2 linked regions of the Canis lupus familiaris genome follow. The protein of the gene in region 1 interacts with the protein of each later gene in a pairwise test. Links are inferred from orthologs where the notes say so. Each region holds a gene or a part of one and is shown in the gene's direction. Other genes may lie near its edges.

What was found.
Region 2: the proteins of RNF111 (region 1) and UBE2E3 interact in a two-hybrid assay, tested with the Homo sapiens proteins (2 studies listed by BioGRID and IntAct). The link is inferred for Canis lupus familiaris from reciprocal best matches to the Homo sapiens genes RNF111 and UBE2E3.

What each region holds. Positions count from the first base shown.
Region 1 is NC_049251.1:24,341,494-24,345,137, forward strand, and holds part of RNF111 (E3 ubiquitin-protein ligase Arkadia), read left to right. Parts: intron 1-872; coding exon 873-965; intron 966-1,709; coding exon 1,710-1,805; intron 1,806-3,033; coding exon 3,034-3,161; intron 3,162-3,644. UniProt on the Homo sapiens protein: E3 ubiquitin-protein ligase. Required for mesoderm patterning during embryonic development. Acts as an enhancer of the transcriptional responses of the SMAD2/SMAD3 effectors, which are activated downstream of BMP.
Region 2 is NC_049257.1:24,551,517-24,555,623, forward strand, and holds the start of UBE2E3 (ubiquitin-conjugating enzyme E2 E3), read left to right. Parts: upstream 1-1,304; 5' UTR 1,305-1,309; coding exon 1,310-1,506; intron 1,507-2,611; exon of another isoform or gene 2,612-2,939; intron 2,940-3,550; exon of another isoform or gene 3,551-3,572; intron 3,573-4,081; coding exon 4,082-4,107. UniProt on the Homo sapiens protein: Accepts ubiquitin from the E1 complex and catalyzes its covalent attachment to other proteins. In vitro catalyzes 'Lys-11'- and 'Lys-48'-, as well as 'Lys-63'-linked polyubiquitination.

The sequences.
Region 1 (3,644 bases):
TAGTCACCAACACTTAAGCTTGGTGGCCATTTTAAACAATAAATCATCAGTAAAGAGCGCAAAAATGGAAAACATGGCACTTAAATAGATCACAAAAAAGACTCATGTTTATAGTATGAGTGCTGAATAAGAAGACAGAGCCTTGTTCTACCCTAGCGAGGAACATGTCAGACAATTCCAATTTTGTTGCTGCTGTATATGTGTCCATGAATAATTGAGAGAGCATAGGTATTGATTTTGTAGCTAGAAATAAATTTTATCAAGTAGGCAAATTCATGAATAATGAGGATTGAGTATGCCTAGGAAAAATTAGAAAACACTATTAAAACTTTCACTAACAGAACTAAGCAAAAAAAGGATCAGGGTACCTTTGGTATAGAGGAGGGGAAATAAGTTTTGTTGGAAAATTTTGTGCATTTTTGTTTTGTAATATGGTTTGTTTTTTTTTTTGTAATATGGTTTAATAAAGGTCTCTGAAATTGACAAAATTTACAAAAATTTTTATATGTTTAGGCTACCAAGAGCATCAGTCTTAACTTTGGGTATTTTTTTTTTTTTTTTTTAACTTTGGGTATTTTCTACTTAGGATTCTTTGTGCAAAATAAATCAATAGAAGAAACCTGTTTTCCCATGGAACAGCTTTTTTTTTTTTTTTTTTTTTTTTCTGCTTGTATTTTAATAGTTATTCTGTGAGATTATATTTGAAGAGGAGCTTAACCCTTTTATAGAGTGCTTAGTTGGAGTCATGTATACTTATGGAAGTTGAATTTTGTTAGTAGCTGAATGGAGAGAATTGAGTGTCTGAATTATTTAGTGTGTTAAAACTCAAGCCTACTCTTACTTGATTTAGTCTATGTCTTCTATTAAAATAGGTTCCTGACATGGCAGGCTATCCTCATATTCGTTACATTTCATCAGGATTGGATGGAACATCATTCAGAGGTCCTTTCAGGGGCAATTTTGAGGTATGTAATACAAATAATGAAGACATTTGCCATAATATCTTTAATGTAGAGAGAGAATATATGTATTATTAGTATTCACTAATAGGACTGAGTTGAGTAGGACTGTTGCACTGGCTGGGAATCAGAAAGCAGCATAATGTCTGAATTTTTGATACTTCTGCTGGGGGTTATCACAGAAAGGTTTATAAGCAATATTAATCCACTTATTTAAAGATGAGTAAATGAAAATAATATAGAAATTTATTAAATCAATATAAATATCAGATAAAGAGCTATACCATTAAATGTGGGTGGAAAATCTCAACTGCTTTTGACTAAGCTTATTTTTAGAGAAACATTACTGGACAAAAGAAACTTAAGTAATTCAGCACATAGCTAACTATCTTGTTTGAATTTTCAGGAAGAACAAATCATTTGAGTATGATTTGAAGTTTTGTTTCTTCATGTCACTTTGAAAGTTCCTTTGATTCATTTCCCTATTTTTCTATAATGATTTCATCTTCTCCATGCATACATACTGACTTTATATAGTAACATGTAGTAATATGTTGTCCTTATCTGTAAGGATAACTTTGCCATACTACTACAATTGGCTGAGAAAAGAATTATAAACATTTGCCTTACCATATATGGCTTTTGTATTTATATTGCAGGTTTATAAATATGGAACTTTATTGCTTTTACAGTATTAACAGTGTTCACAAAATAATCATCCTGGCTTTTGATACTAATCTTTACCTTCAGGAACTGATTCATTTGGAAGAAAGATTAGGAAATGTGAATCGTGGCGCATCCCAGGGGACAATTGAAAGATGTACATATCCACATAAATACAAAAAGGTAAGAATTTATCCTATGAAATGTCTATTTTATTATTAAATTGCATAAAATTTAATATTATGGACCTTTTTTGAGATTGTGGAGTCTAGCAACTACATTATTTATTACCAAAACAATACATAGTTCTTTTAAATTATTGAAGGTCTAAAAATACATCCTTGAAGTTACTTTACCCTGCTGACCCAAGTCTTCCCTCCAAGAGTAAAAATCATAGTTAACACTTTTTTAGGTAAGCTTTACTATAATATGCATAAAATGCATATTTTTATGCATTTACAGTAATGTCACTATGTATGGATTTTTTCTTTCACCTTCGAAAGTAACAAAGGGGTTGATATACACACAGTTTTGCACATTTCCTATTGCTTCTCTTTCAGCATTCACAGGTCACCCATATTCTTTTTAATAGTTTATATAAAATTTCATTATATGGCAGTACTACAGTTTTTTAAAAATATTTTATTTATTTATTCATGAGAGGCACAGAATGAGAGAGAGAAGCAGAGACACAGGCAGAGGGGGAAGCAGGCTCCATGCAGGAAGCCCGACATGGGACTCGATCCCGGGTCTCCAGGATCACACCCTGGGCTGAAGGCAGCCATTAAACCTCTGAGCCCCCCAGGCGTCCCAGCAGTACTATAATTTAACCTCGCCATTTATTTGGACATTTAATCTACATTTCTTATATTCTGCCCTCAATTTCTTATGGAGTAGTATATCTAGAAGTCAAGGAGCAAATCTATAAGTTTCTTTCAATAATGTCTTCTGCTACACAGAGAATGAAAACAACTGTTCTTTGTATTTTTTTGTTTTCTAAGAGTATTAGTGAGGTGTTATCATTGAATTTAAGTCCTTTCAGCTATGTAAGCTAAAGACTATAATTAGCATTAATTTATTTGGATATTTGAAATACTCATTAGTAAAATAAAGTTCATTTACCTGTACTCATGATGGGACAAAAATAGTGTTTATCTTGTGTATCATCCTAATTGTGGATTAAAAATAATAGAAACTAATGAATTCCTGTTACATTTGATTATGCTTTTGATGCTGTTTAAGGGCCTTATAAACAACAGTTGGTGGTAGTCACTTAATTCACCATTAATTCATGACAGCCATACCTGGGAAATAAGTTGTGGGTATGAATGTGTGGTTTTGTTTTGTTTTTGTTTTTCAAATAAACACAGACTTTACTCAGTTGTTCAATAATGTCATCTCTACTAATAAGGTAACAACTGATTGGTTCTCACAGAGGAAACTGCACTGCAAACAAGATGGGGAAGAAGGGACTGAGGAAGACACAGAGGAAAAATGTACTATCTGTTTGTCTATTTTAGAGGAAGGTGAAGATGTGAGGTAACTAGACATTAATTATTTAAAAACCTATTGTCAAAATTGTACAAGAGATTTTATTTGAAAGAGGACTAGAAACCAAATACAGATTACTCCTGGCATACCCTATTACCAATACCTGACAGATAGAATTGCCTTTTTACAGCGAGTGGAAGAATAGAAAGATGAAAGTCTTTGTATTACCAGCAGAGGGGTGGGAATGGGAAGTATACTGCCTCTTTTAGGGGCCCACCAAGATTTGGCCAGGAAAATTTTGTAATCAAATTGTCTTCTTTAAATCTTTCAGAAAGGAGAATTTGGAGGCTTCAGAACTTAAGACAGTTATATTAATGTGTTCTTCAAAGCTTAAAGAAGGCAGTCCTGATTAGCTCCATGCAGTGTGTTTTACAGCATCTTTCATAAATTAGTTGTGTCCTAAAATTTCCTCTCAGCTTATAGGACTATTCTCTTCTTGCAGTTTTGTGATTTGGAAATGTTACTGTGCTA
Region 2 (4,107 bases), on another chromosome or scaffold:
ACCTCTCTCCCTAACCTTAAGGAGCCGTTCATTCTCTTTATGGTGGCTTTGGTCATCCCCTAAGTACTGGCTATTGAGCAACTATTATGTGCCAGCTACTGTGCCAAGAACATCATCTATATTATCACCTATTCATTCCTCCAGGCCTAGCTCACTGTTCTTTTTAACCCACCCATGACTTATGTCCCCAAGCCGAATTAATAATGCCACTACCGGTGGACTGGTCATTAAAACACTCTACTCATTCTGTTCACTCCTTGAATGCAGCTCTTCTCCCACAGCCCACGCTTCTACCTGTCCCCCTCAGTTCCTCAGTCCTCCTGAGCTGGACAGGACCAGCACCCACGCTTTATTCCAACTTCCCAGCATCTGGTAGTCCCCACGTGCCACATTCCGTTGAGTGGAACCACATGACTTCAAACTCTTGGAAGAATCCCGTAATTGTTGAGCAGGAGGGCGCCTGGAACCTCCGCTGGCTACAAGCTCCTTTCACACAGGAGGAAATTTAGGTTCGCACAAGTAACTTGCCTGAGGTCACGTAAACCTGATAGGACGAAATCAGAATCCAGTTCCCTTGCTTTTCAGCCCAGTGTAGATGCGACCGAGACACAACTAAGTATCTGTATTTCCCAATCTCCTGGCCCCACCCGAATCCTATCAGCAACTGGCCTTTGGACCTTCAGGCTATTTCTGTGATAATCTATTTTCTAAAAGAGCCCACTTCCATACACAGCTTTTCTTTCAAAGCTCCGCATTCCAAACAGGAAAGTCCAAACTCCAAATGGGCTGGCTTGAGCCCTTGAGCCGCAGCATCGGTGTAAAAGTTGGGGGTGGTGGTGGTGGTGGGGTGGGGTGGGGGGGGCCCTTCTGTGTATATTTTTACCAAGTTCTGTCCACATGCAGCCTTTGATCCCCACAAATCAAAACGCTTGTCAACACACAGAGCAGGCTCCCTCTTCCCCATCTCTTGAGACCTGGCGGTTGTGCTGACTCGAGGATCCTTCCTCCTCACCAACCTGGCGAACCCCAAGGATCTGTTCCCCTCCTGGACAGCGAGCTGGCTTGGCCCTCGCACCGTCCCAAAGGTGGACTGTGTGTGCAGCACCGAGCAGCAGGGTGCACCGCGTGCCTCTGCATCTGGAAAATTACAGAAATGTGACTTACTCCTCGCAGCTGTACGCAACCCTTAGCCCAAACTTTCCTACTTGTTGGAGAAAGTAAGTAAAATATGTTGGTGCATTCGGTTCCCCCCCCCCCGCCCCCCCCGCAGATTTCTTCTCTTTCTTGCTTTGAGTCCGGTTGCTCTGTTATGGCTGCTGGTCCCGCCGCCTCCGGGAGCTGCACAGGCTCCAGCACCCCTGGCCCTGGCCCTGCCCCTGGCCCCTGGCGGGACAGGGATCCGCAGCTTCCCGCGGGGCTGCATCCCTGGAGCACGTTCCCAGGAGCTGGAGGACATCTGGGCGGCCCACAGGAAGTTCTGGTACTTCGGACCCCAGAGCAGAGAAGGTGCTGGAAGGGGACAAGACCGGCCCGGAGGACGCCCCTCCGAGGCTGCCCCTGCGCGCACGCTCCGACCCGGCGTGGCCCAGCGCTCCCCGCTCCGCTCCGCTCCAGGACGGTTGCCCGGCGTGCACGTGGGGCCAGGCCGGCGGGGGAGGCGGCCTCGGAGAGCCCCGCGAGCTCAGGCTGGGGCAGGACGTTTAACACCCCCCCTCCCCGCCCCGATTGGGGTTATTTTTTAAGTTGTGAAAGCCTCCGAAGGGCTGGCTGCCCCCTGGGCGCGCGGAGGGCCAGAGCCAGGCAGAGCGCGGGGCCCTGGGCTGCCAACCCTTCCTTCCTCCTCCTTCGATGCCCTCGACCTCGTGTTGGCCTTGGGGCTCCGGGGCGGGCCAGGAGCAGCGCGTCCCCGCCTCCGCCCTCCCGGGCCCGCTCCACGACCCCCGCAGGCTCGCGGCCTCCCAGGGCGGGGGCTCCTCGGGGCGCGCCCTCCCCCCCGGGGCGTGCACGGAGGCGCGGCGGGCGGGGGTGCGGGGTGCGGGGTGCGGGGGTGCGCGGTGCGCGCGGGGGCGGGTGGCCCAATGGGCAGCCTCGCTCGGGAGGCGGGCTCAGGCCGGAAGCCGTCCCCGCGCCCCCGCCCTCCCCGGCCGAGGGCTGCAGGGTCCCCGCCCGCGCTCTTTGTCCGGGGCCCGCGTGCGCCCCCGCATCGCCGCGTCCCCCGCGCGTCCTCCGCGGAGCTCCCGGCCCGGGGGCGCGGGGCGCGGGGCGCGGGGGGCGGGAGGGCGCGCGGGCGGGAGGCGCTCGTGCCCGGCGGCCCCGGGAGCGCGCGCCCCTCCGCCCTCCGCCCTCCGCCCTCCGCCGCCGCCGCCGCCGCCGCCGCGCCCGCCCCTCCCCCTCCCCGCCCCTCCCCTCCCCTCCCCTCCCCCTCCCCGCGGCCGCCGCGGAACTTGCTGACTGCGCGGCCGGGAGGAGCCGAGCCGGGCGGCGGCGGCGGGAGGCCACAGCGCGCGGGGTGCCCGCGTCCCCGGGAGCGCGCCCTCCCCCGCAGCCCGCGCCCGCAGCCCTCGCCCGCACGCTCTATTTATTATTTATTTATTTATTTCTCACTATTTATTATTTATTTCCTATCGCCTCGGCATCCTCGTCCTCCTCCTCCTCCTGCGCCTGTCCGCCTCCGCGGCCCTCCCCGGCCTCCGCGGCCCTCCCCGGCCTTCCCCGCGCGGGCCGGGCGGCGCCACCCTCCGGCCGGAGCGCGGTACTGCACGGCCCCCGCCGACTCTCGATGTTCCACGCTCCCCGGCCGGAGCCTCCGCGGCTTCTTTTTTCCCTCCCCCCCCTCCCGCCCCCCCCGCGGCTGCCTCCATTTCCTCAAGGAAGGGTTTTTTTCGCTCTCCCTCCCCCACAGCGTAGCGGCGCGCGAGCGGGCCGGGCGGGCGGCCGAGGTGAGGCGGCGGGGCCGGGGGCGGCGGGGGGCGCGGGCGGGGGCGGGGCGGGGGCGGCAGCTTTGTTCGCGGGCGGCGGGCGGGGCGCGGGCGGGGGCGCGGGCGGGGGCGCGGGCGGGGCGGGGCGGGGGCGCATCCTCGGCGGCCCCCGGGCGCCCTCCCCACAAAGGCCGCGGGGCTGCGGGGCGGCCGCGGCTCGCCGGCGCGGGGAGGTGCTGCACTTCTTGCGGCTTTTGTTTGTTTGTGTTTGCCTCCTCTTTCCCCCCTTTTTTTTTTTTTTTTTTTTTTTTTTTTTTTGGTTATTTCTGGACAAAATGTCGGTCCGCGATGCGAGCGCGGAGCGGGGGGCCGGGGCGGCGCGGGGAGCTCGGCGGGCGGTGCAGCCGGGCGCCCGCTGCGCCCGCGGGGCCGCTCGGGGGAGCTCGGGGAGCTCGGGGGGAGCCCGCCCGGGGCACCGGCCGCCGCCGCCCCCCCCCCCCCCGCCCCCCGTCCGCGCCGCGAGGGCCGGCGTGCACCGAGCGGGAACCGCCACCCCGAATGCGCGCGGGGGCCATCGGCGGGGTCCGCTCTCCTGCTGCAGCAGGGGGATTGCACGGTCTGCCTGGACCCTTGTCAGCGCCTAAATATTGAGACGTTAGTGACTCCTCTCTCCTCTCTCTCTTTTTTCTTTTTTTTTGCACATTTTTCAGCCCCAGCTCTGTTATGCACAAGGTGTCCTCAATGCTCGTCGCCTAAGTTCCCTGGCAAATCTGTCTCATGCCTTCTGAGAAACTACACAATTGATAGATTGTCCAAGGGATGGTGGGGGGGGGGGGCGGGGGAAGGACAAAAAAAAAAAAAAAAAGAAAAAATGTGAGTGGGGTGTTTTGTTTGTTTGTTTGTTTTTCTTTTTCTTTCTTTTCTTTTTTTTTTTTTTTTTCTCCGAACTTGAGTTCGGCCAAGGCTTGAACGTGGTGAGACACACCACCTCCCCGTGTAACCTTGCTGGGTGATGATGAGATCAGTGTGAGCACTGGCAAGTGTTTCTCATTAAAATGCGAATGTAGGGGAACCTTGGGAGGAGAACGTGCTGTTGTTGGTTGATCCCTCAGGCTTAATATTTCCTTTCTCTCTCTTTTTTTCTCCCCCCCTCTCTTTAAAAGTTTTCTAAGAAATAAGTTCACCAAGA